Lytechinus pictus: one gene and its partners. Each later gene encodes a partner of the first gene's protein in a complex. Links are inferred from orthologs where the notes say so. Each region holds a gene or a part of one and is shown in the gene's direction. Other genes may lie near its edges.

Region 1 (10,653 bases):
GTTTAATCATGAACTGGATCAATAAAATTTAAAAGTTATGATGACATTACGAAAAAATACCCCCATATGGCCAAAGCTCAGTGACTCTAAATGACCTTTGACCTTAATCATGTGATCTAAAACTTGTGCAAGACGATCAGTAATACCTGAATACTGTATAAGTGTAATTAATTTACGTTCATAACGAAAAAACGTAACCTTGGTTAAGATTTCAAGGTTGATATGACGCTGTTATATCAAAACTACCGTCGCCTCCGCCGGCAAAGTGGCTCCTTTAGTCCCGCTCTGCTATGCATGCAGGCGAGACACAAAAAAATAGGTATGGCCGTGGCAACGGCCATATTTTTTTAGACTTTGATAATCCAATAATTGAAGTAAAATGTAGATTTACAGTCAGAGTAGTTTAAAAATGCTAATTCGATCGTTTTATTCATACATGTATATTTTCTATGCAGAGGGGGCAGTCTGCCCCACCCCCCCTGACGAGTCCCAAACCATGCAAAAGACGTATCCATGCCCCCCCCCCCCCCCCCCGACGAGCTTGCAGACCTTGTTTTTGCTTGTCAAATTTTTTGGCCGACGGCTTTGCCCCCCCCCCCCCTGTGGAAAATCCTAGGTACGCTACTGTTTCTATGATTTTAGATATAGATATTCCTACAAAATTAATGTTACCATGGTAACGGCAAATTAAATATCAGACCTATTTATGAATATCGCCACAGGTAGATTTACGTTCAGCACCAATTAATTCGCGGAAATAGCAAGAAGATCGAACTCTACAAAAGTAAACATAATCCTTTATAATATCATGACGAGTATCGCACTGATTAATATTAGTATGTGCAATATAGATGTAATATTGTGCGCTGTTTGTATTTTATCAGAAATGCGCATCCGATAAAATGTACATTGTTATCTTTCGCATATATAACATAAAATGATATATCTTGCATCTTATCTCAACATTTGTTTTCACTTTATGTGCCATGACAACAATTATTATGTATTTATTCGGTTAGCGCTAAAATTGACGAAATTGAGATGCGGAACACAAACATTATACTATTGATAGTTTTCACAAACTATTATTTTTAGTAAATCACGATTTTATATTTCATATTGCCATATATGTGTGTGTAATATTCCAAATTGAAATGCATATTTAGTAGACTTATCATTTAAAACTCTGAATAAAAATAATTCCATATCAAAGATAATCAAAAATATGATGATAATCCGTCAAAATATCAAAATGCGTGATTTTCAACAGTCTTTCAAATTTTATGCAAAAAATGATACTTTCACGCAAAAGTGTACTTGGCCTCCGCCCGTACGTTATTCCTCAGTTTTTCCGCAAGACTTTTAGCTGGGATGCAAAGAATTGACAAATTGTGCTATCTAATTAAAAACTCGCTTTAGTATGTACTTATACATGTAATTATGTACATAATGTACGGTATTTTCAATTTTTCTTTCAAAATGCGCACCTGATAATTTAAAAATGCACATTGTCTCCTTTCGGATATCATAAAGTGAGATATCTTCCATCTTACTTGTAAATTCTTTTAATATTTGTGACATTAGGACATTTACTATACATTGGATGGACAAACGCAGTTAAATCGAAGAATTTAAGCTGCGTAAAAAAAACTTCAAACTATTGATAGTTTTCACAAACTTTTATTTTGAGGAAATCGCGGTTTTATGTTTCCCTGTGCCATGTGTGTGTGTGTAATATTCAAATTTGAAATGCATATTTAGTAGACTTATGATTTAAAACTCTGAATAAAAATAATTCCATATCAAAGATAACCAGAAATATGATGATAATCCGTCAAAATATCAAAATGCGTGATTTTCAACAGTCTTTCAAATTTTACGCAAAAAATGATACTTTCACGCAAAAGTGCACTTGGCATCCGCCCGCTCGCTATTCCTGGGTATTTTTGCAAGACTTTTAGCTGGGATGCAAAGAATTGACAACTTGTGCTATCCAATTAAAAACTCGCTTTAGAATGCACTTATACATGTAATTAAAAACTCGCTTTTAATTTAGTAAGTACTTATACATGTAATTATGTACATAATGTACGGTATTTTCAATTTTTCTTTCAAAATGTGCACCTGGTAAAATGCACATTGTCTCCTTTCGGATAACATAAAGTGAGATATCTTCCATCTTACTTGAAAATTCTTTTAATATTTGTGACATTAGGACATTTACTATACATTTGATGGATAAACGCAGTTAAATCGAAGAATTTAAGCTGCGTAAAAAAAACTTCAAACTATCGATAGTTTTCACAAACTTTTATTTTGAGGAAATCGCGGTTGTATGTTTCCCTGTGCCAAGTGTGTGTGTGTAATATTCAAATTTGAAATGCATATTTATGAGACTTATAATTTAAAACTCTGAATAAAAATAATTCCATATCAAAGATAACCAAAAATATGATGATAATCCATAAAAATATCAAAATGCGTGATTTTCGACATTCTTTCAGTTTTTACGCTAAAAATGACACTTTCACGCAAAATTGCGCTTGGCATCTGGCCGTACGCTATTCCTGGGTATTTTTGCAAGACTTTTAGCTGGTATGCCAAGCATTAACAAATTTTGCCGTCGAATCCTTATCTAGAGCACTTTTTTACTTTTGGCCGGTCTACTACAACGTGATTAAGGTTGTTTTTTTTCTTCAAATTTTCGCTGTTTGCGCCTACCTCTAAGAAACACCCCTTTTTCTATATTTTTTCTTGCAGATGCTGTCCAATGGACCCCCCACCCGCTTACAAATTGTGATATATTGTGACTGGTAAAGACATCCACAAGGATGATGATGTCATTCAAGATGGCACTTTCCAGTAATACCAAAATAAGACAATTTAAGCGAGACTATTACCTCTGCCACTTTCGCAATGGCTGCGGGAACGGCATCAGCGTCATCAACATTGAAATCTTAACCAAAGTTAAATTTTTGAAATGTCATTATAAACTGAGAAAGTAAACTGTACATGAAAATACATAATAATAATAATAATACTCAGTTCTTGTATAGCGCATAACACATAAATAACGTCTCTATGCGCTTCCAAAGGACTTGGTTATTATTACCCCGGCTGTAGCTCAAGCAGCTAGCTTCCAGCACTCGGCATTTCAAGGAATTCACCTCACCTGGGTTGAGTGCAGCACAATGTGGATAGATTTCTTGCTGAAGGGAACTATGACATGGCTGGGATTTGACCCCACGACCCTCTGTTTCAAAGTCCGGAGACTAATCCACTGGGCCACAACGCTCCACATTGTAGTTAATGAGTCTTGGGTCTTCCAAACCAGTTTGAATGACCACTTAAGATATCCTCCAAGAATGCTTCAAGCGTTCCCATTACTTGTTAAACTAGTTTCCAGTATTTGGTTTCCACTAAACTAGCTTCAGGACTGGAATGAGAACGGGGTCTTTTTGGTGTTAAAACAAGGGGAATTGGTGACAGATTACCTTGTCAGGTGAAACATTTGTGTTACTCACTTGCACACCAATACATAGGAAGGAAGAGAAGGAGGAGAAGATTCCGGGGGGGGGGGGGGGGGGGGCGGGGAGAAGATTTATGCTTACCTCACAGAGGATACATAGCAGTAAATTACACTCCTTGTGGTTAAAATCCATCTTAAATACAAATGCTACGAAAAGGATGCCTCTTGACACAACTGTAAAGGCAGATATCAGCACTGTATATATTTATAGTTTATTTAAAATTCATGCAGAATCCATGTGAAATTGGTAAATTATACAAACTAGAAATCAGATACGACCAAGTGCAAGGGATCAAAGAATTTGACACCCTTCTGAACTTGTCATGCCATAACATGATACCATTAATTAAAACTGGTGCTTAGTGCCTACTTGTTGTACATAACCTTCATGACTGAGTGACTGTGATTCAATTATTGCATATCTCTTTCCTATTTTCTCATCATGATTCATTGTTTATTTGCCTTTTTTCTTCATTCTTTGTCAAATATCTCTGATTTGATTTGTTAGCAATGAAACATCAAGTTTTATGTGCACTTTCTTGATATTTTTGTTCTTTTAAAATTGGCTATCAAGTTGTGCAGGTTTGAGATTATGATAGCAGTCACTTGCATGAACATGTCTGTAACACATCAGTATGATTTCTTTATTCTTAAAAGAAAAAAAACAAGTTGTTTTAACTTTTTTTAATGTGAATTTAGTTTCTGATTACCCTAACTTTAATATTGTATACATTAATTTCAACAGTTAGAATATTGTTTAATATGTTAATTGGAATTTGTTGGTATATGATATGGTTTACCTTTATGTCCTTGTATCTTTTTCTTCTTCTTCTTCTCCTTTTCCCCCTTCTTCTCCTTCCCCTTCTCCTCCTTCTTCTTCTTCTCCTCCCCTCCTCCTTCTTCTTCTACTTCCTCTTCTTCTTCTTCTTGTACGTCATTGTCTTCTTCTACATCTTCTTCTTTTTCTTCTTCCCCTTCTTCTTCTTCTTCTTCTCCTTCTCCTTCTCCTCCTTCTCCTTCCTTTTCCTCTTCTTCTTCTTCTACGTCTTCTTCTTCCTTGTTTCCTCTTCTGTCCACATTCTCCTCATTCCAGCCTTCTGCAATAATAAGGAGGACACAGTCTAGGCCAAGAAAGATTTAGTTTAATGAAAACAAGATAGTGCATAGGGGAGATCGGGGTTAGTTGGAACATTTTTGACAAAAATGGCTGTAAAATCCAAATAGAATTTATTTGAGAAACAATCAATATATCAGCTTAAAGCATAAAGGGCTTCAAATGTACCCCATAAATTTTTGAACTCTATGATGATTACTGAAAAAAATCCACCTTGAACAAGACCATCGCAAGCGTTCCAACTTACCCCATATACGGGGTAAGTTGGAACACTGCATGGTCAATTAAGAATTATACTTCTACTTACAACTGTTATATTACATGGTTTTGCTTTATTTTTTACAAGTTCAAAAAATTTAAGGTGTGTATTCTGATTTGTTGAACTTTATGTTTTCTATTATACAGCCACTCACGCAAGCCGACTGTGTAGTAGGATTACGCGTATTTGTGTGCGCATGATTTTACATGCAATTAAAAACAAAAATTCCTTTCTAACTTCACCAGGCTTGTTGCACATGTGTTGTCTGTAATATGGTGGATGGCAGTTGATAATGGCAATAAATTGAGGGCAGTAGTGCATAAATTTATTAAAAGGCGTTAAAGAAAATTACAATGTTTCAACTTACCCCGCGTTCCAACCAAACTGATCTCCCCTACAGTATCTCTATAAAGAGAAGTTTAGTGTTGTCAAGTAAGTAAAGTACATAATTTTGAAGGGAAAATAATGTATATATTTTTCTTTTCATATTCACAGAGTACATCTTCGTCATCCTTATCAACACCTACTAGACCCAATACAGGAGATGTGAAGGAATTCAATTTCAGATTCCCTCTGTAAGTGTACATTTTAACGTTCAATTACTATTAATTAGTCCTAATTTTGTATCCTGCATATGAGCTTTTTTTCTCTCATTGTCTTAAAACAGGAAGCTAGAAGTCAAAGTTGCTCGCTTGTCTAGCTTGGCTTCTATCTGGCCAGGCTCCATTTGGGGGTGACAACCCTAGCTTGCATCCATATGCACGAGCTGTGAAGGGGAATACCCTGTTTCAGTCCCAGGAGCAAGTGGCTTTGGCCCCTGGCTATATCTGGTTTGGGTTGACTGCCCATTCCAATTCTAATTACTTTAGTCACATTATTTAATTATGTGGCAGTCACTGGCCACTTTTCATCAGATCATGATGGCAACATCAGGCCCAAAGAACAATGTAAATAAAAACAAAAAAAACAAGACTGACTGATGCTACCACACTTCTTCACCTTCATCTCCAATAATAAGACTTCTATATCCAACTATCCACTTGGTCTACTAGCAGATGTTCTAATTTGCAAATTATCTGACACCATCATGGCTCTTAATACAAACTTGGTCTATTATCAAATTGGTCTAATTTCTGTGTGGTCCTACCATCAATTGCAGGGCTCAACTTTAAAAGGGGCTAGGTCATTTTTGATTGGGCACTTTTAAGGAAAGGGAATGTGGCACTCACCTTTTTGGGCATCCAAGGGCATTTAAAAAGGGCATCAATAGAAATATGTACTGTACTTCTCAATGGGACACATACACTGGATTACCACATGTTTTTGACATGGTTTGAAATTAGGCTAAAGTGATGCAATGGAAAATAGGAGATTAGCGTATGTCTACTGTCTTTGTTAAGCTTATTTTGTTACGTAGGATGTTAGATTTGGCTATATAGCAATTGAACAAAAAACTTGAGATATTGAAGAAATGGAATAAACTTGATTATATACTGAAGAAAGGCTTTTCCAGAAGCATAGATTATGAAAAGGTTTGTTATGGAATGTGTGGGTACCCTCCCCCCCCCCCCTCACCCTCAGTCGCATTTTAGCGTCCAAATATGTTCCACAAATTTCCACTTTGAGTTAGGAGCTCACCATTTAAAAACTAAATATTAATGACACAATCAAACCTGCTTAAACAACCACTTGTATAGAAGGACAACATGCCTGTAAAGACCACAACCTTCTATTTTTTCCTTGTATAGTATTCTGCATTGAAACATGTATTATAGCAACCTATCCATAAGGACCATATGCTCGTAAAGACTGCTTTCCTTGTCTACTTTGAGTTGTCTTTATACACAGGGTTCACTGCCCTATGTTCTTCTCATGCATGGTTGTAAATAAAAAGTATTTTGCCCCCCCCCCCTCTCCGCCCTTGACCTTGCCCCTCCTCAAGCCCCTAAGCCAAACATTATACAGTTATACTATTCTTTTTTTCCACAGGAATCAGAGGAAGAAGTACAGTGTGATGCAATTCAATAGAAATGACAATGTTGATCTCTCCAAATGGAAGCAGGTACACATGCAATTATATGGTTAATTAGTGGAGAGTGCAATCAGGGGGAGGGGGGGGGGGTCACAAACTTTGAAATTCTGACTGACCTACAACATCTCATTTACAAGATAGTGCATGTCCAACACTATGAGGTAATGTGTTACACCACACACAACTAGGAATTTAAGTGCAATCTTAAGTCAAACTTAGATCTGTACATGTACATGTTTGTGACCTACCCCCCCCCCTCTCAAATACAGGGTCACTTGTCATAACAATGATATTGCGATTGATTAAGCCCTGGTGTTGTGAATTATGAAAATTACATGTAAACTTGACATGTCATTTCTAACAGTCCAGTCTTATAAAAGCTTAGTGACCAGTGTTTAAGTTTTCATTGATACTTTATAAGAATGAGAGTGTTTGACTGTTTATTAAAACATCTTCCTATGTACTATTTAAGCCATAAGCCAAGAGAGTTAAAGGGATGGTCCGGGCTGAAAGTATGTATAATTTAATAGATAGAGTGGAATTGACTGAGCAAAATGACGAAAATTTCATCAAAATCGGATAACAAATAACAAAGTTATTGAATTTTAAAGTTTAGCAATATTTTTGTGAAAACAGTCATCATGAATATTCATTAGGTGGGCTGATGATGTCATTTCTCCACCTGTTCTTTTGTATTTTATTATATGAAATTAGGTTTATTCAAATTTTTTCCTCCAAGAACTAGAAATATTGGATTGACAACTGATTTAGTGCGTTAGATATTTATTGCTGCAACTTATTTAATTATAAGGGAGACATACTTTTCACACAAGTATGAAATAATGAAAAAATTATGATTTTATGTAATAACATAAGAAAACGGAAAGTGGAGATGTGACATCATCAGCCCACCTAATGAATATTCATGACGACTGTTTTCACAAAATATTGCTCAACTTTAAACTTCAATAACTTTATTATTTGTTGTCCGATTTTGATGAAATTTTTGGCATTTTGCTCAGTGAATTCTACTCTATGTATTAAGATATAAATATTTTCAGCCCGGACCATCCCTTAATATCATACTCCAAGATATACAATTATCTACAATTGGGATATTTCTATTAATTAAATATTCATGCTAGGGGAAATGTTTTACGTCTTCTGAATGAGTTTGTTTGGATTGTTTTACATCTTCTGAATGAGTTTGTTTGGATTGTTTTATTTTGAAGGAGATTGTTTAGATTGTTTTACATGTACATCTTCAGAATGAGTTTTTTTTTAAATCCGAAGACATAGACAAATAACTTCCACAATACCTCCTTTGACCACCGTTCTCTAGGCTAAGATGGAACGAGAGAACAACAAGATCCACTACAAGACGGACCTCGATGACCTCCCAAAGTTTGGGGCAGGGAGTGAGTTTGGTCGGGAGAGGAAAGAGGAAGCAAGGCAGAAGAAATACGGCATCATCGCACAGAAGTATAAGGAGGAGGATCAGCCATGGATTCTCAAACAGGGAGCAGCTGATGGAAAAACAGCTAAAAAGTAAGTAAAGTTATATATCAGTAGAAAAAGGTTGAGAACATGGAAAAGGAGAAGTATACATAAAATGAGAAGAGGGAGAGGGAGAGGGGGAAAAAGAAGAGACAATGATGATTATGATGAAGAAGAAGACGAAGAAGAGACAATGATGATTATGATGAAGAAGAAGACAAAGAAGAGACAATGATGATTATGAAGAAAAAGAAGAGGAAGAAGAAGAAGAGGATGAAGAAGAGGAAGGAGGAGGAGAAGGAGAAGAAGAAGAAGGAGGAGGAAGAGGAGAAGAAGAAGAAGAAGGAGGAGGAAGAAGAAGAAGGAGGAGGAGGAAAAAGAAGTGGAGGAGGAAGAAAAGAGGAGGAGGAGAAAGAAAAAGTAGAAGAGGAGAGTGAAAGACTGGATGGGAGGCACTAATTTCTCTACTGAAAGACAAAATGATACTGAAATTATATTTTCAATGTGTAAGCCCAGAAAATGTCTATTTTTTTCCCCTTAACCCTCGTGCCATGAGGTGACAGCCCTAGGGCCCCGTCTTACAAAGAGATACGATTCATCCAATTAATCGTAACTCTGAAAATCCAACAGTGTCATAACTTTCCACAGGAAATTTGCAAAATGTCCTTTGTAAACAAAGGAGAACAGACCAAATTGCCAAGAAATCAATGAATTAATAAATATACATCATATCTATAATTTTTTTTTGAACAAACATGCATTTTATATGTTGACGTTGCTGGCCATCCATAGTTGCGATTGATCAGATCAATCGCAACACTTTGTAAGACGGGCCTCTGGTTATTTATAAAGAAAAAAAATACATGTACATGTAGTCTACAATTTAGAAGACAATCATGTTTTATTGATACACATCTTTATTTATTTTTAAAAATGTGTAATGATATAACTAGAGTCTGTCTCTTTGTTGCAGGTATCGTGGAAGGAAGGAGGGAAGGATAAATGAGAACTCTAGTTACTTCATCCTCTCTCAGCTGGCTGATGGAACATTTGAGGCATACCCTGTTGACTCCTGGTATAACTTCACAGCAATGCAGACGTATAAGACTCTAAACGCAGAGGAAGCAGAGGAAGAGTTTGGCAGGTAAACTTTATTTTCATTGTCTCAAATAGTTCATCACTACTCAGTTTATTCAATGGAGCGTAGTGGAGCGTTGTGGCCCAGTGGATTAGTCTTCTGACTTTGAAACAGAGGGCCGTGGGTTCAAATCCCAGCCATGGTGTAAGTTCCTTCAGCCAGAAACTTATCTACATTTTGCTGCACTCAACCCAGGTGAGGTGAATGGGTACCTGGCAGGATTAATTCCTTGAATGCATGAGCGCTGAAAGCCAGCTCAAGCTAAAGCCGGGGTAATAATGATAATAACAACGCGCCTCGGAATAGAATATTTCTAGATAGATTGCCCAATATAAATGCCTATTGTTATTATTATTATTCAAAGGAGACATTCCCTCTGACATCAAGTTGCTTTAATAAAAGGATAGAGGTTTTGTGGCTCAGTCTCTGGACATTGCACCACTAGGTCCTGATTTCAAACCCCACTGCAGCACTTGTGTCCTTTGGCAAGACATCTGTCTACCCTTGCCACTTTTCATCCATGTTTAGTAAATTGGTACTTGGTAGGAAGGAATTCCTTGAATGCTTGAGCACCCAATTGGGGTAGCCATGCCAAAGTCAGGTAATATCATGCAGTGCTTAGAAACAAATTCTATTGATTCCTATTTTTTTATTGCTCTGATGATTTAACATAGTGTTATCATAGTAGCATGAATTAATTTTTCTGCTGATACATTGAATGAAAATGGCACTTATGGGATTAGGGGGCTGCTTGAATAATGAAGAATTTAAAATATGAGTAATAATGTGTCAGAATGAAAATGTGTATCTTACTTAATACTTTAAATGCCTCTGTTCTTTTTGCAGGAGAGACAAAACGATGAATTATTTTTCGGTGATGGTGCAGAAAAAACTCAGGGACTCAAAGGAGGAAGAGGAGATGGAGGAAAAGTCATCTAAATCAAAAGGCTCAGATCTTGTAAGATTAACTTACCTTTCCACATTTTCTGTCAAAATATTCATCATGTTTTTAAGAAGGGGATATAGGCACCTTATCAAAAGTCAGAGCTGCATATTTTCTGCAGGAATCATGTAAGCAGCTTTT
Region 2 (11,491 bases), on another chromosome or scaffold:
CACCCAAAATAACAAAAGATTGTCGGGACTTACGGTTCATTCACTTCCTGTTTCTCTAAGTTTTTTTTTTTTTTTTTAGTGTTTCTTACCTTAGCTGGGACTCGAACCCACGTCCTTGTGACTGCAGTCAAGATTCTTCCCGCTATGCTAGCAAAAAGCACTGATACCAGAAGGGGTTTTTCAGCGATCATAAGCCGATACTTCAACTAGGGTAGGAATTTAGACCATTTAGTGACTAAATAAACCGATGTCTATGGACAATTACACCCACTCAATCCTGCTCGAAAATTTGACGGAATAAAGGCATATTTTGGTATGTAGACTATTTCCACATCATATTATCATGTTCTATATTAGGGCTAGAAATATTACATTCTCCATATTTTTATTTTCAATTTTGGTGGCTGTCGCAAAAGTAGGTACTCCCACTGGCACTAGATGGTGCTGCGTGCATGTACACAAAAGTCAATACGTGAGTTGGACCCACCTGTTCTTCTATACTTTGAGTGAACCATTTAGTTATTTTGAGATCTAGCAACATCTTCACATTTTTTGGCAGCCGAGTTGATTATCTATCAATGTGACATGTTTCCATGGCTCCTCTGGGAAGAGAACACAGCCCCAGGCCAGGGCAGTATTAACATGGCCACCACTCACTAGCCTACAGTAGGCCTAATGAGTGTACAGTGAGGTACCATTTCTAATATGGTTTTTTTTTGGGGGGGGGGGGCACATAAACATGATCTATTTTGCTACTTTTTCAGAAGTTATACAGAATTTCTGCTTAACTGGCGTGGCGTCCGTCCACAATTTCAAAATGCTTCTTCTTCATCATTTCAATTCTGTTTGCTTCACTAGTATATGATAGCAATTGGTGGGGGATTCAAAACTTTTACACAGAATTTTGAAACTCATTAAATATGCTAATCTATGTGCATTTTTCAAAATTCACAAAAGTGCTTCTTCTTTTTTGTTGACAGATTTTGATTTTTTTGCTTTCATCTGGTAGAGCTTCATGAGGTCCAGCAAACTTCTACACAGAATTTTGAAATTTTGACTATAGAACAATTTTTATGCTAATTTATGGGTATTTTAAAAAATTCACATAAAATGCTTCTTCTTCTTTATTTATTGACCAATTTTGATTTTTTTTCCCTTCCATCTGGTAGAGCTTCATCAAACTTATACACAGAATTCTGAATTTTGATTAGAAAATTATATATGCTAATTTATGCGAAATTTATTCATAAATCACAGAAAATGCCTCCTCTTTATTTTTTGACCCATTTTGATTTTTTTTCTTCCATCTGGTAGAACTGCATGAGGTTCACCAAACTTGTACACAGAAATGTGAAATTTTTACTAGAAAATTATTTATGCTAATTTTATGCAAAATTTATTCATAAATCACAAAAAAAAGCTTTTTCTCCTTCATTTATTGATCAATTTCAATTTTGTTTGCTTTATATGATAGCTCTAGGTGGTATACAAAATTTCAACACAGAATTTTGAAACTCTTTAAATATGCTAATTTATGCATATTTTTCAAAACTCACAAAAAATACTTATTTGTTGACTGATTTTGATTTTTTTTGGTTCCATCTGAGAGCTACATGAGGTTCACCAAGGTTTTTTAGAAATTTTGACTAGAAAATTATTTATGCTAATTCATACGAAATTTATTCATAAATCACAAAAAAATGCTTCTTCTATGTAATTTCTTCATCAATTTCAATTCTAATTCCTCAACTTATGTCACCAATATAATTCACTACAATGTCAACTGGGCTGAAATTAAAATTGTGTTAAAAGTTGTTGCGAGACGCCGGATGAGCTCCACATCATTGATGTGCTAGTTATTATTTTTTCGTACTTGAAGATTATTTTTATATGTTTTTAGCTCATCCGGCCCGAAAAGCCAGATGACCTTATGCCGTGGTGTGGTGTCCCTCATCTGTCGTCGTCCACAATTTCAAAATGCTTCTCCTTCGTCATTTCAAGTCCGATTTCAATTCTGTTTGCTTTATATGATAGCATTAGGTGGGGGATTCAAAACTTCTACACAGAATTTTAAAACTCATCAAATATATTAATTTATGCACATTTTTCAAAATTCACAAAAAATGTTTCTTAATTTGCAGGCCGATTTTGATTTTTTGGCTTCCTTCAATCAAGTTTGATTTTCACGGCAGTGGGGACAGTTTCAACAGTATAGATATACTCATGATGCAGTCCCGACTCTATGGGATACATTTCAATTTGGACGCTGTGGGGACAGTTCCAAGTTCCAACAGTATAGCTATACTCGTGATACAATCCCCACGCTATGGGATACACATTTCGTTTGGCACATAGTGGGGATAGCTCCATCAGTTTATTATACTCTAATACCGTCCCCTCACAACATAAAATCGTGCTCGTTCGACAAGGGGATGGGGACAGTTTCCCAGTGCAAGGTGACAAGGAATGATCGAGGCTGAAGAAGATGTTCACAAACTTCAGGGGGGGGGGGGGGGTCACCAGGAAAAGTGTGCCCCTTTGAATTAGATCACTATAGACTCATTCAAAACCTTTGGGTATTATTACCATCATCATTGTCATCATTATATTATCCTTATTATTGTTAATATTGTCAATATTATCATTATTATTATTACTATCATCATCATACATTATTATTCTTTATTATTGTTGTTTTATTATTACTATCATCATCATAATTCATTGTTATTCTTTATTATTATTATTCTTTATTATATTATCATTATTATAATTATTCTTTATCATTGTGCCCCTTCCATCCATTCCGTTCCTTGTATTTCATTTAATTCCTTCAAATGAAATCACTTTAGACTCATTCATAACCAACGTTTGGGTATTATCATTATCATCATTATTATTGCTATTATTTTTACTATTTTTTATTTTTTACTTATTATTATCATTGTTTGTTAATATTATTCATCTTTTATTATTGTTATAATAAAAATTATCATTGTTATTCTCTATTACCATTAATATCATTATTAATTATTATAATTATCATCAACATCATTATTGCTATTATTTTTTATTATATTTATAATCATCATTACCCCATCATTATCATTGTTATCATTACTTTAGTACTTTTCATTTCCGTCACATATTTGTATCGATTCCTTTTAACTTAAGTTTAATGTTTTGGATTTGGGGGGTTGACTCTAACTCTAGTACTCATAGTCATAGTCATACATAGTCTAAGTCTAACTAAGACTAAGTTAGTTTCAGTGTCATTCTTCATTCATTCTCTTGCCCCCCCCCCCCACTTCCCCGTTTGCTATTGGTGCCCTTGCGCTTTCCCCTTATTTGTGTGTTCTACTTCTAGCTTTCTTCCTTTCCCCTTCTTTCTTTCTCCTCTCCTCTGCAGCTCAGGCTCAGCTCAGCCCCGAGTTCTACTACTACAACTAGTATACCCAGTTGTTGTGTGTCCGGACAGGTTGTGTGTCCAGACGATCAATTTTAATTTTTAGAAAGTCATTTGGAAAAATTTACAACCGAATTTTTATCAATTTTTATTACAAAATGTTGTTAGGAAATAATTTATAGAGAACAAAATAGAAGATGATTACAACTATTGAATTCATATCTTTAGTGCAATCCAAAGACAAAAAAGAACTCTTCAAAAATATAAAGTGTCCGGACACCCGACCCCCCCATCCTACAACTTACAAGTAGGATGGGGGATCGGGTGTCCGGACACTTTATATTTTTGAAGCCTTCTTTTTGTCTTTGGATTAGGCCTAGGCCTACACTAAAAATATGAATTCAATAGTTGTAATCATCTTCCATTTTGTTCTCCATAATATTTCCTTACATTTTGTACGAAAAATTGATGAAACTTCGCTTGTAAATTTTTCCAAATGACTTTCTAAAATTGATCGTCCGGACACACAACCTGTCCGGACACACAACAACTGGGTATACTACGAGTACTACTAGTATGGCAGTGAGTCCAAACTTCGCGCGTGTCCATACTTCGCGGACGGTCATTATCTAAAAAACTAGCCAATATCCTTAAAATCTGACATCATCAACGTGAAAAGCGACCTAAAATTACCCTTTGGTGTAAGTTTCTTTAGGATGAGTTCAGTATTCATGAAAATATTGGCAAAAGATCGGCAAATTTGTCGCCATTAGCGCCCGTTTTGAAGAAATCTGATATTCTCAACAAGCATCACGATATCACCATTTTGCAAGCATAAATCATCAAAAATGTGAGTTAAATATGGTACTAACCGATTCTATAGCAATTTGCCATCAATCTGATATAAATTTTTCACTTTTTCAGCTTGAGTTTCTGTTTAAATCTCCACAAAAACTTTGGTCCGCGAAGTTAGGTCACACTTTTTCTTAACGGTTTTCCAGCACAGCGCGCATTCGCCAATCGGAATAGAATTTTGAGATCGCGATACCGGCGAAAGCCCTTGACCTACTTCACATTTTCGTCCATGATTTTATACTTTACGATCTTGCCGTCAATGTGGTAACTATTTCTTGAATTCTTTTTGTATGAATTATGAATATTTTGTGAAAAAAAATCAGCCTGATGAATATTTTTGAAAAGTGCGCGAAGTTTGGACACCCCATCATACTAGCCTGGCCCCCTGGGCCTGGCGCAGCGCCGCAATAGAGATTGGAGCTGGCGCTGGAGCCCCAGGATCAAGATCGAGGAAATTGTCTCGAGAAATGGCCATCACGCGCGCCAGCGGCCAACACCGATAACGCTCACATTGTGTTTAACTGTTTTTAAGATAATATTTTGATGATTTTAAAGTACTCGTTATTCACAGTTTTATGGCTTTAAGCCTTCAAATAATAATAAAACATTTTGAAATTTTGAACTCACCGCCTCCGTCGACGACGAAAACGCAGGTTGAGATTGAGCTATTTTTTTCTTGAATCTCTCAGCGCTGCCTGCGTGCGCAGCACGAAAGCTGTATTAAGGAGAAATGAGTTTAGTCTGGAATATTGGTCACTGTCATTCGTACACAATTGATTCATATATGAAATTTTATAACAAATCGAGTACTATAAACAGTGTTTTTAGACAAAATAAAACTAAATTACAACTAAATTTTTATTTCACTATTTTTGCGTATACGACTGATTGAGAAGGACCTAATATTTTCTGCAAAATTCTTTCCACGTTTTCTTTCTTTTCAAAATGGCGGCGTCTGCGCCCCTGGAAATTTTTCTCCCTGAAAGAAAAAGTTGTAAAATTTCTAAATTGAAAGTGAAATCTGGCTCGAAAGTATCAAAAGGAACCGTATTGTTATTCTATAGATCTGAAAATGAAGATATCGGTGGTGAAGAGAAAGGACCTGAGCAGAAATTGAAGTCTCAAGATGTTGGAACTGTCAAAGATATCCTTGCAAATGAAGGAGACGAAGTGAAACCAGGGTATACATAATAAATGTGTATTTTAGGATAGTTTTGGATTACAGTGTAGATATAATTTATTTTCAATTATGATAACAGTTGCTATGAAAAGTAATATTAGCTATAATGAATGGAGTTAAGGATAAGTTAAGTATTGTAGATAATTCTATATTCATTTCATAAACCACAGCCTGATGCATTGCCATGGGCATGGCCATGGCCATGGCTGATAAGTGATGGCATGCACACAGCACAGACACAATCATACGGCGGGTTCCCTCAAGTCTGCGCAGTCCCCCTTGTCTGCGCACACGCGTATCTGCGCGATTCTAGTAAAAGAAGATACGCAAAGAACACAGACTTTACACATGCAATACCTAGACAGATATCCATTAAAAAATAGGACTAAAAATGGTGGGAAAATAATGAATTTAGGGCATTTCATGTGACGACCTCAAAGTGCAGCCTTTCTCATCAAAATCCCCGAAATGTGTGCAAAGTGAATGGGTGTGCAGACATGGGGTATGGTCAGTTCCCCCAAGTCTGCGCACCCGCGTATCTGCGCGATTCTAGTAAAAGAAGATACGCAACGAGCACGAACTTTACACATGCAATACATAGACAGGTATTCATAAAAAAATCTGACTCAAAATGGTGGAAAATAATGAATTCAGGGCATTTCATGTGACGGCCTCAAAATGCAGCCTTTGTCATCAAAATCCCCGAATCGTGTGCAAAGTGAATGAGTGCGCAGACATGGAGTACCATTTTTGTTTCAATCTGAAAATGACTGCCCAAAGGTTTTTTCAAGAAAATCTTATATTTTCTTTCATTTTTTAATGAGAAATTTGGTACACTTACTCTTGATAATATAAGGAACACTATTAACCAAAAGATTTTGTGAAATAAGAAGGAATTCATGTTAAATCTTAACTCAAATTGTTAGGTGCGCAGACTTGGGGCCCACCATCATACCATTTTTTTTTCAATCTGAAAATGACTGCCCGAGGTTTTTTCTAAGAAATTCCTATATTTCTTTCAAATTTTTATGATATTTGGTACACTTATTCATAAAAATATAGGGAACATTATTAACTGAAAGATTTTGTAATATAAAAAGAAATTCATGTTAAATCTTAACTCATAATATAGGTGCGCAGACTTGGGGACCATGCACCATCATAAATTAAGTGGCGGGGGGGGGGGGGGTGCATGGGGCTTTGTCTGTCTCCATGTCAGCTTAGCTCCTGAATTTGAGATTACACATAATTTTCTTGTTTCTTTTTCTTGAAATTCTCACAAAACTGCTTTATAAATTTGGATGATTCAGGCTCTTTTTTCATGAAATTTCACCATCCAGGCCAGGGAATTTGATGAGGCTGCATTTTTTTTTTTTTTTTGATGACAAGTAAAGTGAGTCCACCACATATCCACCACCTCTTGGAACCAACCACCTTGCGCGCATTTAATTTATTGCGTATTACGAATACTATGTGAGTGAGAGTAGGCGCACAGTGTGTCTATACGAACGATAAGAATCAATTTTAAGAGAAAAAAAGTGATAAAAAAGTAGGAAATTTGTACAATTTATAACCAGATCCGAACTCCGTAAAACAGCCACAGCATCCCCCCCCCCCCCCCCCGGGTACAGTGCCTGCTCGATCGATCCCTCTAATTTTTTATGTGTGTGTGTGAAAAATCCTTAAACATGGGGTTTGGTTTTGTGCTTGACAATCCTTAACTTCCTCTCCTTTTTTAGTCTTGAGTGCATGATGAGCCCTTTTTTTGTCAAATGAGAAAAAAAACTTTCAACATGGGTCTATTTGAGGGAGAAAATTCTTCATAAAAAGTACCGGTACCTTTTTCTGGCAACATTGCTCAAAAAGAGATGGGTTTCAAGGTTGCAGCTGCACACCGGCCTCCAGTCCGAACCAAATCTTAGTACCCCCCCATCCTGGGGCGAAAGTTCATTCCAAATTCATATGCACATATCTGATGGTTGAACATGTTAGATTCGTGCTATGCAATTGAATTTAGGGTGCTGCTTTATAAAAATAGCATCATCACAAAATCTACAAGTATGCAAACAATTTTTGCCAATCGACCCCTGCATCATATCTGAGAATTTATTCCTTAAAACCTTTTTTCTTTTTCTTTGTAGGTCGGTTGTCTTGAGGATTGCAAGATGTTCACATCCCACAGTTATGAAAGACATGTGTGCAGAATGCGGGGAAGATTTGAGAAAGTGAGTAACGCACTAACTAATGTGATCTAAATTTGGGGATTTGTAATAACTGCATGGGTATAATGTGGTCTTTTGAACTTCACAAGAAGATTTTAATGGACAATAAAGAACTAACTTTAATATACATATTCTTTTGAATTTGTTGAAATATTTCTTGGTTTGTGAATACAGACCTGGACAATTATTTTTGAAAAATCCTTCCTTAATCAGACATCCAGTGTTTGGTTTACTTCCTGTGATCCTGTCATGATTTTTTAACTGATGTTTGCTAAATTACTTTAATAACACTTCATTGATAAATCGATCCACATGACAGTTATGTCACTGGTTATGAAAATTCTTTTTCAACCAATAAAAAACAAGTCTAGCAATAGTGTGGCTGGATGTGATTGTTATTTTCTCTATTTGTAACTAAAATGAATTACACCAATAAGTCCCGAAATATAATTTTATTTTTCTAGGGATGACGATGACAAGCAGACACCTGCAAGCAAAGCATCTGTTGCTATGATTCATAGTATTCCTGAACTTCATGTCAGTAAAGAAGTAAGTGGTTTCTTTGTGATAGTTTGAAATGGTAATTGATTTTTTTATAGAAAAAAACTAAGATTTTAACATCTCGTAGGTGCTTTTAGCTGTGTTCTCCTAACTTATACAAGAACATATTGTAAAGTCTGCAGAAACAAATAAATAAATTGATAAATGAATGAATGGATGAATGATTGGATTAATTTACTAATGAAAAAAAGAAACAGAGTAATTATTGAGTGAATGAATAGATAAATGAAAAGAAATATCTAAATTGATTATGAAATTAAATGAACTGATCAATAAATAAATTTAAAAAAATACTTTTAAGCAGTAGGCCTATAGATGAAATAAAAAATAAACTCATCTCATTCGTATTTTCAGGAAGCTGATGTTCTTGCCAAGATTGATGAGGATTCTCTTATCAAGCACAAAAAGTTGGTTCTTCTTGTTGATCTGGATCAGACGCTAATTCACACTACGCTTGATGATGTCCCTGCAGAGATGCCTGTAAGTCAGGCTATTTTCATCAAGCTTTTATTAAAGGAGAATGAAACCAGTGGAACAAGTTAGCCTTTGTGAAAGGAAAAAATAAAATCAGAGAATAAGATCAATGAAAGTTTTGAATTGGACAGACAATAAAAAAAAAGGGGACTCTCCTATTGGCAAGGCCAACAAGATATTTTATGTCACACATGTCCCATTCGACAATGAAAAGATAGCCCAGGACATCTCTGTCTGCAATCTAATGATAAGACTCTAAGACAAACAATTCATCCATGATGTCTTCTCATAAAAAAAGAACACCCAATCTTGTGATAAGACTAGATAAAAGAGAAAAGTTGAGTGAAATATGTTCTTAATTGATGCCAATGGGAGGATTAACACAGTACTAGTGATCTCGGTATTCAAATTCCCATAACTGTCTTATTATTCATTCCATTTTTCTCCAACCTTAATTGATTGGTTGTTTGATTTTTCTCTTAAATGTTATTCAACTGGTTCAAGGGTTTCATTCTCCTTTAAAAACAACTTTACGAATGACCAGAATATTATTTTCCAAAATATGATAATTTGAAGCCAAGAGTGAAGCAAAGCTGTCAAGGCTCCTTGATTATTACAGAAGTTCCTGAAAATTAATGAATCTCAGTGAAAGCTACTGTCTTTAATGATCTGTCTCCCCGATTCATGCATTGATCTTGTATATTACAGTAGGTGTACTGACTATAGCGAGACCCCCCTCTCCCTCTTCCTCTATGATTGTGTGTGAATGAGCAGAAGATTAGTACACGCTATTCACCAGTGCATGTAACATTTGGAAGTATTTTTGCTCGACCAATATTCCTTTCAGACAGCAGATAAAGATTTTTATTTATTTTGAATAGTTGGTAATATAATAGTAAGATTTTTTTAAATTGATTATTTTGCAGGGAGTTCACCATTTCCAGCTGAGGAAGGGTCCCATGTTCCCCTGGTACCACACTCGGATCAGGGATAACTACCAACAGTTCCTGGACATCATCAGCCAGTTCTACCAGCTCCATATATTTACCATGGGGGTCCGCCTCTATGCTCATACTATTGCGGAGATCATTGACCCGGATGGGAAGTTCTTCTCCCATCGTATCCTCTCCAGGGACGAGTGCTTTGACCCCAACTCAAAGAAAGCAAATTTAAGGTATTTTTTAAATGATTTTTGTGTCCTTGCATTGGTGGGCTTTCAGATCGTAGTCCTTTGGGGAATGTTTCACAGTTTAAGTAGAAAGAAAAGGTAACAATGCACAGAAATTTGACAAATGTTTTTGGACTTTCTTTCTGTAATTTTGAGGCATTCCTTGTTTGAGTGTATGTGTCAATTCTTCCCTTTTCAAAGAAGGACACATTGTAACAAACATTTTGATTGTGCGTCCTTGTGTGATGAATGCTCTCATTGGATGAATTTATTCAAAGATACAATTTCATTTTTTCTTGAAAGATGCTATTCATCTTTTTTGTGATTATTTATTTATATATCTCTTCAGTTTGAAACACCAGCCATTGGTGACATGTTTATTTATTGAACACTTTTACTCATTGCTAAAATTGTTTTGAATAGAGAAAATTAAAACAAGCATAATGCAGAAAATTTCATCAAAATTGAATGTAAGAGCGTAAGATATATGGAAATTAGGCTCATATTTACAAAACGATTTTGTGCACAACTTGGGTGATATACAGTGAGATAACTGGTATTTGTCACACCCTCACCATTTATTTTGTATAATATGATTTATTAAATATTTCAGGTTTTAGTCGATTTGACATTAAGGAAGCTCATCATTAAATCACAATAGGATGCAAAAATGGCAATTTCACATGTTCAGGAAGGAACTAGAACTCGTTTCACGTTGTAATAAGAAAAAAATGAGTTCTTATAAGTAATGAAATACAGAAGAAAGTGAGATGGTGACGGTTTCAAGTCCCTCATTTGTATGCTGACCAGGATGTGCAGATTACTGTAAATGTGAAATAAAGCCAAAGCTCAAATTGTCATAAGTTTCTAATTTCACATCCAACTTAAAGTTGAATTAAGAAGACGATTCCAAATATTGAGATATTTACATTAATAGCAACCTTACAACCCCCCAAACACTAAGAGGTGATTCGACCCCCCATTTTCTTTTTTCAAAATAGTGAATTTGAACGATTTATCCCTACCCATTTTCCCTGAGTTCGCTCATGCAATGCCTACCGAGACGGGTGTTCTTTGACTGTGACGTCACCGGGGGGTATTCGGTCCCGGTGTAGTAAACAAGGCAGTGCCGTTTTGTGTACTATACACGTACACCTTCATATTTACTTTTGTGTAAAAACTTCATTTTATCGCTATTGATTTTATGTGAACGATACTGAAAGGAAGTAATAATTATTCAAAGACATATAGTCAATAATATAACCCTACATTGTTAAAACTGTTCTTCTTTGTAGCGATTTTAGACGATTTTAATGCCTTGTTTTCGTTCGGGACTGTGTCCGTGGCGAAACAAGTCATAATGGAATAAACTGCAGTTGAAGTTGTATCTACGAGCCGGAGAACTTGCAAAGAGGAAATGATTAAAAGTATATTTATGGCCGTACTATTATTCCTAATATGTAAATTCCCTCAGAATGATACCATAGACCCTAAATTAATAATTTCAAGGCGAATAATATTAAATTTGATCGAGATCTTCTCACCAGTCGATCACGTAGCAGACGTGTTATTATGACATATTTATCCGCGTGTGACGCGGCTCTTGCAAAAAACACAGTTGGTTG
Region 3 (10,892 bases), on another chromosome or scaffold:
CCAGGTTCCCTCTATTTCAGAAACCTCCATTTTTATCTCTTCTACAAATTCTTTATCATTACATAAGCTGCTATTGAACTTCCAATATGATTTCCCATAAATAAAACTCTCAACCAAGTTGCTAAATTCTACACAGACCCCAGCGTGATCAGGTGTAATAGAGGGTAAGATGTCAGATTTTTTTACAAGCTTCTCTAATTTCGAAGAGATGAAAATATAATCTAATCTACTCTGAACAAATGGCTGTTTCTGTCTAAAAGTAAATTCTTTTTTATTTGGATGACGCTTACCAAGAGCTTATCTAGCTTATCTAGCTTATCAAGAAAATCACCTAATAAATCTTTGTATTTATTTTTTGAAACATTTCTCGCACCCATGTAATCTAAGTCATGGTCTATACTTAAATTGAAATCTCCCCCAATTATCAGAGAGCATTCTTCACTAAATACAGATGAAATTATTTTGTCCAAATCAGAAAGAAAATCACATTGGGCCTTTCCTTTATCTCCTGTTGGAAAATATACACTTCCTAGTATCAACTTTTCACTTTGACATTTACCTTTTATTATAATATATCTTCCGCCTTTGTCTATTAAAACTTTTTCTATCACAAAATCAACATTCGATTTAAACATGAGAATAGTTCCCCTACTGTGATTACTCCCGTGACTAAAATACATCTCCCCTTCCCAATCAGCCTTCCAACTATTTTCAATATCTTGTGTGCTAAATGTTTCCTGTAAAAATACTACATTTCCTGACCTTTTGCACCATTGAAAAATTTTCTTTCTTTTTACTTTATCTCTTAGCCCTCTTACATTGACTGTGAGTATTTTTAAATTACCCCTCATTGGTGAAGAGTTGCCACAGTGATAGGACACGAAATGGTGCATTCCCTACTTCAGAAATAAGAGCTTTTAAGTAAAGTTGAAAATAATACAAGTACAGACAGACACAGAAACTTCCAATTACACACATAGCACCCCACTCATTCACATCCACACCAGAACTGGAAAACATACCACTCAACGTATCACTCCACTTCATCCCAACAAACATAACACATACACTTCTGCAAACATACTCAAACACACGCCCATAGACTATCCTTTGCACGCACAAACACCCCAAGACACTCTCACAAACACCCCAACACACGCACACCAGCATGATTGACATATATCCTATAGACCCGCAGTTCCGCCCCCCCCCCCCCCCCCCCCCCCCCCCCCCCGTTATAGAGCAGCCATTTGTATGCTGTCCATATTAACATTATCTCCCTTGTCTACAGAAAATATCTACCTATATAACGCTGAGAAAAAAAAAATAATAATAATAAAAGAGTCCGAAAGAATAACCTGATTCTGTGTTTTAGCCCTTGTCCCATATCAAAGCTAGACTTAAAACGTTTAGACCTTCATAACATTTGGAGTGAACACATGTAAGAGTGAACCCAAATAAACCTACATAATAGGATATAACTCACTTGAAACGTATAGCATACTTAAAGATACCAGTCAAAATGAATACAGGACATCCAAGAGGGTTCTTATTGTAAAAGGTATTATCTGACTGCACCGATAAAGGATACAGTTGATACTATGTTCCAACCTGTCCAAACTATTCCTATTCTTCTACATCCTAATTGAAAAGCAAATGGCAAAAACTCTTCCGGATACACAAAAATTCCCAATAACAATAACATCGTTCCAATAAACATATACAGCAGGACTTGTATACCTGCATTGGCATATTTGTTATTCTTCTGTAAACCAATATGAATGAGATTTGGTATGAGAAGAGCTACTACCATGTGTCCTCTATTTATAATAAGCATGATAAGTGATACAATGAATGAAAGAAAAAAAAAACACCTTTCAATCAATTCAAATCAAATGACAATACCAACAACAAAGTCATGATTATCCTTAAGAATGTATACGGGAATCTTTCAGACTCGTTCTGTGATGTAGTCATACATGTTCCACCCACTAGACCCATTACATTATGAATGCATGCATGGAACAAACATTTACCCCACACAATAAACGTCATTCAAAATCGCTCTGTCCCCCAGTTCATCAGAATAAATGACAAAACTCTTCAAAGTACTTGAGATCCCATGTAAAATAGCGCCGTTCTAATCAGAACAATCAGAAACAAATGAGAGCAAATTTCTTGTCACTCGAATAGCTGGTTACTTTCAATAACATTAATGGAGCTATTCAAATTGCCTATGCTAATTTGTTTAGAGCCATTGTAACACAGATATCCTAATAATGTACTCTGCCAATTAAAGCTATACCTGCCTGAAGCAAAATCCTTCCACTCCTTCATTATTTTGTTTCATTGAATATGTAGATCAATAACCCCTAAAGAAATTTCAAAGACTCTAATTGTTGGAAGTGTCATTCCATGTGACTATTATCATTCAAAAATTCATGGGATGGGCGATAGAAAAAAGACTTAATGCATAATCACCAGCAAAAGGATCTTGCTTTCAACTCAGGGTCATACAGACGAATGAATTATCAATACAAAATTGCAAATGCACACAGAGCTATTCATCCTGTCTACCTTCATTAGCAATATTTATTCTTTTATAAACCGATTTAAGGTTATGCATTTAAATTAGACTGTGCATTGCATTACTTTTTCCCCCTTTTTTGGGCTAAAAGTGGTATAGTGAATGAGCCAAGAAACCCCTTCCTACCTTGCAAATTCAAGCTCAAAATTAATTAATTGCAAGTTAGGTAATATTTTTGTACCTTATTGTTTCAACACACCAAAGATTAGTGCATTAACTCTCTCAAAAATATGTAAAAAATTAAAGAATTTTAAAGAATGTTATTTAACATCTTTTTTGCCAGTCCCTCTCTCTCCCTCCGCCTCTCGCTTACAATAATGACGATACCAATGTACGATCGGAATGCGCTATTTTTTTTTTTTTTATCCAATTAACATCATAACTTTTGAAGGAAGATTTACCTTTTTTGTCTTCCTTTTTTTCAGACAGTTACTCCTCCTATCCGCTATACAAAGCGAAGAGATTGACATAACCAGATACATGTAGCTATAGATATTGGCATCAGACCTACAACATTTAACTAGCATTCCTGTCATTATTAGAGGCAGTCCCCGAGAGCGTATAGAGAGGGAGAGAGAGAGATAGAAAGAGATCATAAAATAAAAATGCATATTGTAAATACATACAATGTATACGCATATCCACTTATTTATAATGGATAAAAAAAGTATCTCTTCAAATCCATAGTTATTTTGCAAAGGAAATCCATACTTATTTTACAAAGTAGCTCCACAGCACTTTAATTCACTGCAGTTAAAAAAAAAAAAAAACTGCAACTTAAAATGCCATTTCCTTTTTCCTCCCTTTCTCTTGGTTTGAACTTAAAGTTTTGTTATTACTTATTCCCACAAATATAAAAGAGAAATGGTGAAAGAAAAAAAAAACAATAGAAGAGGCTTTCTTTAGTAGGCCTATATTTTTAAATATTTACTTGGTACATATAAGAAGGCCTAAGAATAGCCTGCACAAGCAATCAGAGCCACTTTAGGCTCTAATAAATATTTATTTAAAGAAAGAAAAAAAAATATATGTATACAGGTCTATGTTACTTTTACACAAAATAAAGGGTGATTATTCCATGAACGTCTTCTAGTTTCTTCATTCTAGTTTCTTCTCGTTGCATAATATCTTTGATAATAAAAAAAAAATATCAGCTCTCTAGCTTTCCACTTTTGAACATTGCGTCTCCTTTCCTTCCTTGCGTCAAAAATAAGATAAGATAAGATAAGAGTACGCAATATCTTTTCTCACACCACGCTTTAGTTATTGCTGTTATATTTTCCTGTCTTCTTTGTCCTGCATTTCTCTTCCTTTTTGTTTGAATAGGAATATTCTTCAATCATCCTCATTGCATCTTTCAGAAATAATATACAATTTTGGTTTTAGTTGACTCGCATTTTGTTGTGAAATATTCATCAAACTAAATTCTTATCACAGTTTAACAGTTTAAATGGTGTTTAGAAGGGTCTCACTTTGTGAAAACCTCTTTAACTCCGTAGTCTAGAAAATTAAATGCTTAGTGTAAGCGAATGTAAACATAACTGATACTTATCCAAGCTTTTCTCCTTGTATTCTCATAGCGCCAGTTGCTTATTCAGGGAGATTGGGCTCTGCACCAGTAGCTACCTGAAGACGTATTCCTGGGTTACCGGGATGTGTCTCTGTAGGAAGTTGCCGAATGAACACTTGTTGTCTCTCCCGTGGCACGTAAACTCGATCGATATACAATTTCCAAGGTTCGCTTCGGGAGAAATAAGCCATCTTACCTGAAGACCGGGCTGCCTTTAAGGCTGGCAATTGAGCTCTTTGACGTTCTCTTATTCGCAGTGGGAGATCCTCTGTAATAAACATGCGTGAACCTTTCAAATTCTTCGCCCTTAGAAACACAGCAGCGCGATCTTTATATCTTAAAAATCTTGCAATGATGGGGCGCGGTCTTCTGGCAGAGTTGATCCGATGGGCTCTTTGAAATTCAATCCTATCTGCAATCGCTCTATCAAATCTAAGATGCTCCACAAAAAAGTCCCGTAAAAGGTTCTCCACATCTTCCTGTTGATTACCTTCTACTATTCCGTGAAAAAGTAAATTTTCTCAATTAATGTATGTCTTGAGACTGTCAATTTCCTGGTTGACTATTTCCTTATCCTCCTCTATTTTCTGCTGAAGTTCTGAAATATTCTGTCCATTAAAAGTGACCGAATTCACAACATCGTTAAGTTTTTCTTCAAATTTCTTTATTTTGGCTCCAAAGTTAAGTTCCAAAACTTGAATTCTTTCTAGTACCTTTCCTATCTCCTCTGCTAACATATTCTTAATGGCAGGCAAGAGAGCAGGTCCTTCGGGACTAGAGCCGGTAGATGGTCGAGGGCGTTTCCCGCCTTGTTTCCCTCGATGACCGCTCGACATTTTCGTAGTTACCGATATTTTTTCAACTTCAAATATCCACGTTACATAATGGGAGAGAGGAGGCGAACCCGCGATACGTGTTACTCAAGGACGAACATGCTGATATAATTTCATGTATATACTTATAGGTAAAGTGCGCCATCTTTTGACAGATGATGATGAAAGTGGATTGAACGAGCAAGAAAATAATGCTGAGCGCCTAGAATGCAGCTAGCAGTACAAGCTGCAGACAAACGGTACAAACCGGCATAAGAATAATATCGCATGCCCTCTTTAGGCAAAAATTGATATCCATGCTGATCAGGAGGCATCTACATGAAGATCAAGCAAAAATGCTTTTTTTTAATTAAAAAAACAGCAAAGAGAATTCAACAAACGATCATATGGTTCGGTAAGTGTCATAGCACAATTAGAAATCTTAGCTATAATGGTATGTCATAGTTATTTGAGCAAAAAGGGTGTGAAAGATTCGCGTGCACCAGGTGCATATGAATCCTTCGCACGCGAGATGAATTGAACCCATGGGTGGCACGGGCCATGGCGCATGCAGCACTCGGAGTCGTACTCGCATGGCCAAATTCAAATTGAACACAAGCCATAACCTTGTTCTCTGTAACATCTCCATCAAACATTGCCAACCTTATTGTGCCACACATGGAGTGGCACAATATAAGGTTGGCAATGTTTGGCTTATTTTCTCTTTTTCTTTGGGACAAATGCTTGATTTTTTTTACACTATCAGTATCAGTTTCCATTACAGCTATTCATCATATAACTTGGCTCTTAAGTAAATTTGATTCTTTGAATATTTTTTCTTAATTAAAAATAGAGATTAAAAATGAAAATTTTCTTGCCATATTACTTTCCACTAATAGAAGGGCATGTTATACACAAAAATATGCCCAAAATTCAAGTTTTTGAGCGCTCTGGTGAATACAAAAATTATTCCCAAGTTACTAATGAAAAATATATTGCAACTGTACAAAAATTAGTATTTTGGGGCACAAAGTGATATCTTAATGATTTTTTAAAGTGTGTGCTGTATACTGCATGGGCTCCAATATAATTTTAATCCTGTTGGCCCAAAATAGTTATATTTTTAACTAATATTACACATAATGAATGAATTAAAAGTAGAGGAGCGTTTACTCACAGACTGTTATTGTCGCCATCTTGCCGTCTTAGTTATCGTAGCCTAGCTACAAGAAGCGTATAGAGGGCGACAATATCATGAGCAGTGCAAAATTAGAATTTAAAAAATACTTGTAGTTGTATCGGCCAATAAATATCATGAATCTTAGCTGAAAGATAATGCTTTGAGATGCCTCCACTCAGCAATCGATATGTCTCAAGCTGCTAAATCAAATTATCAATACTTGGTATCAAAATAAAGTTAAAAATTTCTCATGATCATCCCATTTTGAAAATGGCATAATTGTTATCAAATTAAAAGCATGAAAGATTCTGTTTTTTTTCTCCAGGTATCACTTGAACATGAAATTCTCCTTCATCCAAGATACTTTGGACCGAGCCTACTCAACACTGTCAAACAGAAGTTGTTCACTGAAGTAGAAGGGACCTGTACTGGGAAGTGAGTACACCCTCCTATTTTGAAATTTATGAATAAGCCTAAGCCACTTTCAGGATAGCACTTGTGTCAGCAATGATCCCCCTTTAAAAGTATGATGAAAAGTAAATCAGTTTATAACTTTATTAGGGAATCATTCGTTTATTGACAATGACATATTTTTCTTTTATCAATCAGTTATATATGGTTGTAAAGTTTGATGGAATATAGGAATCAATTGTATGAATGCAAATATTTACACATTGTGCAGCACTCAAACCAGGTGAGGTAAATGGGTATCGGCAGGAAGTAATTCTTCAAAAAGCTGTGTGCACCGGAATCTGTAGACTAGCGTAATATAGGAGCGCCTTGAGCACCTAGGAAGGTGGATACGTGCACGATACAAATCCTATGTATGTAGTTCCTTGTGCACGGATTATTGGGTTATTAGGGACTTATATTATCAGGACTTATATTATCACACAACAGTCAAAAACATATTCGGCTAGAGCCTGTCAGAATTTAATCATGTTTCCTACATGTTTGAATCACATGAAATATTTTGTTATTGGAAGCTTTTGTATGTTTTGTGAATTTGGATAGGTTTATACATTCTGATGGTTGATCTAAACCAAAAGATTTAAAAAAATAATTAAAAGCTCACCAAAATAGAACCTATTGAGGCAGAGTTTCACTTGTCTGAATATATAAACGTTTAGTATTGAAGAGGATCTCAGACTATGAGTAGAAATATCTGTTATGAACAATGTTTTTGAAGGAATGTAGCACACTGTTGCATGATATTCTATTCTAATGTAGGTATGGCTTCATAATTGCTGTTTAGGACCATTGATAACATTGTTGAAATGTCTAGTATTTGAGATGGTTTCTGAATCTTAATTTATGGACTTGTATGTTTTTGTAGGAATGTACCTTACTGATGACATTCTATTCTAATGTATCTAGGTATGGCTTCGTCATTGCTGTTACGACCATTGATAACATTGGTGCTGGGATGATACAACCAAGCAGGGGCTTTGTTCTCTACCCAGTCAAATACAAGGCAATAGTATTCAGACCATTCAAAGGAGAGGTAGTAGATGCTGTAGTCACACAGGTCAACAAGGTGAGAATTTGATTTTGGACAATGAGGTTACTACTGACCAAGGTTAAGATGATAGGTCACATATCAAGTGACCATGACCAACAACCAGTGTTGGTGATTTGTGATGTTGGTGATGATGTAAGTTGGTCACCTTGGAAACAACTGATAATCAGTCTCAACTGGGTGATATAGTTTAAATTTTAACTTGTGGGTGAAAGCTAATGATATGAAGGTAATATTTGTCCACATTGCCGTTTCCTGTAATAACTTTACTACCATATCTGATTACTTATGAATTCATGTACTTGCAATATGGGTATGTATTTGTGATACTAGTAAAGTCATTTCATTGAAGTGGTAGAATTTATAGATACATGTAAATTCTGGTACTGCTATAATATTAGTGATATGAATCAAGTTTTTACATTTTCTCAAGTCTTGCTGATTTAAACCCCATTCTTCCATGTGCTTGTTTTTTTTCCATGTGCTTGTTTGTTTAACCTGACTAAAGATAGAAGTATAGAAATAAATTTTACTTTGAATTTTCCTTTAATACATGTATATCTTAATTTTTCCTAGGTTGGCCTTTTCACAGAAATTGGACCTTTGTCATGTTTCATCTCAAGACATGTGAGTACTTATTTTTGTCTCACCTGCGAAGCAGAGTGAGACTATAGGCGCTGCTTTTCCGACGGCGGCTGCGGCGTCAACACCAAATCTTAACCGAAGTTTTTTAAATGACAGCATAACTTAGAAAGTGTATGGACCTAGTTCATGAAACTTGGCCATAAGGTTAATCAAGTATTACTGAACATCCTGCCGTAGTTTCAGGTCACATGACCAAGGTCAAAGGTCATTTAGGGTCAATGAACTTAGACCATGTTGGGGGAATCAACATCAAAATCTTAACCTAAGGTTAAGTTTTTGAAATGTCATCATAACTTAGAAAAGATATGGACCTAGTTCATGAAACTTAGACATAAGGTTAATCAAGTATTACTGAACATCCTGCTTGAGTTTCACGTCACATGACCAAAGTCAAAGGTCATTTAGGGTCAATGAACTTTGGCCAAATTGGGGGTATCTGTTGAATTACCATCATAACTTTGAAAGTTTATTGGTCTAGTTCATAAAACTTGGACATAAGAGTAATCAAGTATTACTGAACATCCTGTGCGAATTTCAGGTCACATGACCAACGTCAAAGGTCAATAAACTTTGGCCATAATGGGGGTATCTGTTGAATTACCATCATAACTTTGAAAGTTTATGGATCTGATTCATGAAACTTGGACATAGAGTAATCAAGTATCTTTGAACATCCCGTCCGAGTTTCAGGTCACATGACCAAGGTCAATGAACTTTGGCCATGTTGGTTTTTTTTTTTGAATTACCATCATATTGGTGTAATTGTATTTGTCTAGTTCATAAAACGTGGACATAAGAGTAACCAAGTATCACTGAACATCTTGTTTGAGTTTCAGGTCACATGACGAAAGTCAAAGGTCATTTTAGGTCATTGAACTTTGGCCATTTTAGAGGTGATTATTAGATTGCTGTCATAACTTTCAAAGTCTATAGATATAGTGTATAAAATGTGGATATAGGGGTAATCAAGTATCACTGACAAGTTTTAGGTCACATGATCAAGGTCAAATATCAATGAACGTAGTATTGTATCATTATATGAATGGTGTTTTTGTGAATAATTATTTTATAGTAGTTTTCAAAGTCAGTACTGCTGCTATATTGAATCGCGTGATGCAGGTGAGACCGCCAGAGGCATTCCACTTGTTCATGTAAGAAAATCATACGAAATCATATTATCTGTTGTTCTGTTCATGATTTGCAAATATTATTTTGTTGCTTAATTTCCCTACAAAATTTGGAACATACAAAGCTAAGTTTCAATGTACATTGAAATTGGTGTGAGGCAAAGCTATGTCATCTGTTAACCCTAATTCTCCCGGGGCCATAATGGCCCCCCCCTCGACAATTTTCGCGATATATCCGCTGCGCAAATTTTTTGACCTCACCGCTCACTGACTTTTTACTTTCAAGTCTCGCGCAAATTTTGAGACCAAATTTGTGACGACCGGATACGCGGTTACGACATTACGCAACATTATGTAAGTGCATGTCAGACCCAAAATTGCTCACAAACATGATTTCATGTACAAATCCAATGCAAATTGTGTATTTAGCCAAAATTCATAAATGTATCATTATTTCTACTTTTACTGATTGAATTTAATTAATTTTGCCTTGCTTATGATCAGAATTAAGTCTGGAACGATTTCCATTGAAAAAACAATAAAAAAACAAAAAGTAAAAAAAACAAGGAAATACATAAGAAATTCATAAAACAATAAAATACATAAGAAATTGATTTCCAAACTGAAGTTTTTTTTAATTGCGATTGTTAAGAATGCTACAAAGAATATTTTAACCAAAAATTAGCATTCTAGGAGCTTTATTTAGTGAATTAGAGCAAAAAGTATGATTTATGCATAAATTAGCATAATTAATTCATATAAAATAAAATCTCATTATTTTGGAAAATTTTACCATACAGCCTTGTAGATTACATCGCACACAACCAGCGTGCAAATTTTTGCGTCGCTCGAGCGATCAGCGGCCGAGATCTTAAGGGGGGGCCATAATGGCCCCCCCGGGAATGACAAGAATCAAAATACCCCGGGAGATTGAGGGTTAAGAAGACTCAACTTCAGGTGAATTTGAATGCAAAATTATGAAGTATATAACAGCCAACTCAAGTTTGCTTTTAAACGATGATCATTACTTGTTATATTTTCAGTCCATTCCAGCTGATATGGAATTCGACCCCAACTCAAATCCACCATGTTACAAGACGAAAGATGAGGTAAGGTTCTTTTTCATGTCATCTTGGGACCCATAACACTAAGCTTAGTGATTGATCGTACATTTGATTTATGTGATTGATTGTTCATAGTTGTCAATCAATCATAAAATTTAGACTTGTGATCAATTGTTACGCTTTGTGTTACAGATCCAGAGGCCAGTTTCTTGGGCAAGCCATCTACATGTGATAATGAATTAATGCACATTTCTTTGGGATATCCATTGACTTGGAAGGTTTCATGGAGCAGGCAGTGGATTTGTATGTGCTAAAATTGTGTGATTCTATTCACATTGTGAATGTAATTTCCATGTCCAGTTTAATTACCTATATTTTTCATATCAGT

What was found.
Region 2: the proteins of general transcription factor IIF subunit 1-like (region 1) and RNA polymerase II subunit A C-terminal domain phosphatase-like are in contact, whole or in part, in an NMR structure (PDB 1ONV), measured with the Homo sapiens proteins. The link is inferred for Lytechinus pictus from reciprocal best matches to the Homo sapiens genes GTF2F1 and CTDP1. Residues at the interface, in NP_002087.2 of Homo sapiens: Thr470, Lys471, Leu474, Gln478, Ser486, Thr489, Val490, Leu493, Ala494, Leu497, Lys498, Leu500, Asn501, Pro502, Arg504, Met511, Phe513; in NP_004706.3 of Homo sapiens: Ala946, Asp947, Met949, Ala950, Lys951, Ala952, Leu953, Glu954, Glu956, Leu957, Asp959, Leu960, Met961.
Region 3: general transcription factor IIF subunit 1-like (region 1) and DNA-directed RNA polymerase II subunit RPB7 share a complex: the UniProt entries of both Homo sapiens proteins name them as parts of the TBP-based Pol II pre-initiation complex. The link is inferred for Lytechinus pictus from reciprocal best matches to the Homo sapiens genes GTF2F1 and POLR2G.

Annotation. Positions count from the first base shown.
Region 1 is NC_087255.1:31,038,974-31,049,626, forward strand, and holds the start of general transcription factor IIF subunit 1-like, read left to right. Parts: upstream 1-5,352; 5' UTR 5,353-5,367; coding exon 5,368-5,477; intron 5,478-6,891; coding exon 6,892-6,964; intron 6,965-8,276; coding exon 8,277-8,482; intron 8,483-9,404; coding exon 9,405-9,575; intron 9,576-10,415; coding exon 10,416-10,527; intron 10,528-10,653. UniProt on the Homo sapiens protein: TFIIF is a general transcription initiation factor that binds to RNA polymerase II and helps to recruit it to the initiation complex in collaboration with TFIIB. It promotes transcription elongation.
Region 2 is NC_087246.1:36,951,083-36,962,573, reverse strand, and holds the start of RNA polymerase II subunit A C-terminal domain phosphatase-like, read left to right. Parts: upstream 1-4,939; 5' UTR 4,940-5,206; coding exon 5,207-5,442; intron 5,443-7,582; coding exon 7,583-7,666; intron 7,667-8,127; coding exon 8,128-8,212; intron 8,213-8,578; coding exon 8,579-8,704; intron 8,705-9,624; coding exon 9,625-9,872; intron 9,873-11,491. UniProt on the Homo sapiens protein: Processively dephosphorylates 'Ser-2' and 'Ser-5' of the heptad repeats YSPTSPS in the C-terminal domain of the largest RNA polymerase II subunit. This promotes the activity of RNA polymerase II.
Region 3 is NC_087251.1:16,537,152-16,548,043, forward strand, and holds the start of DNA-directed RNA polymerase II subunit RPB7, read left to right. Parts: upstream 1-5,664; 5' UTR 5,665-6,447; coding exon 6,448-6,584; intron 6,585-7,526; coding exon 7,527-7,686; intron 7,687-8,244; coding exon 8,245-8,295; intron 8,296-10,483; coding exon 10,484-10,549; intron 10,550-10,892. UniProt on the Homo sapiens protein: Core component of RNA polymerase II (Pol II), a DNA-dependent RNA polymerase which synthesizes mRNA precursors and many functional non-coding RNAs using the four ribonucleoside triphosphates as substrates.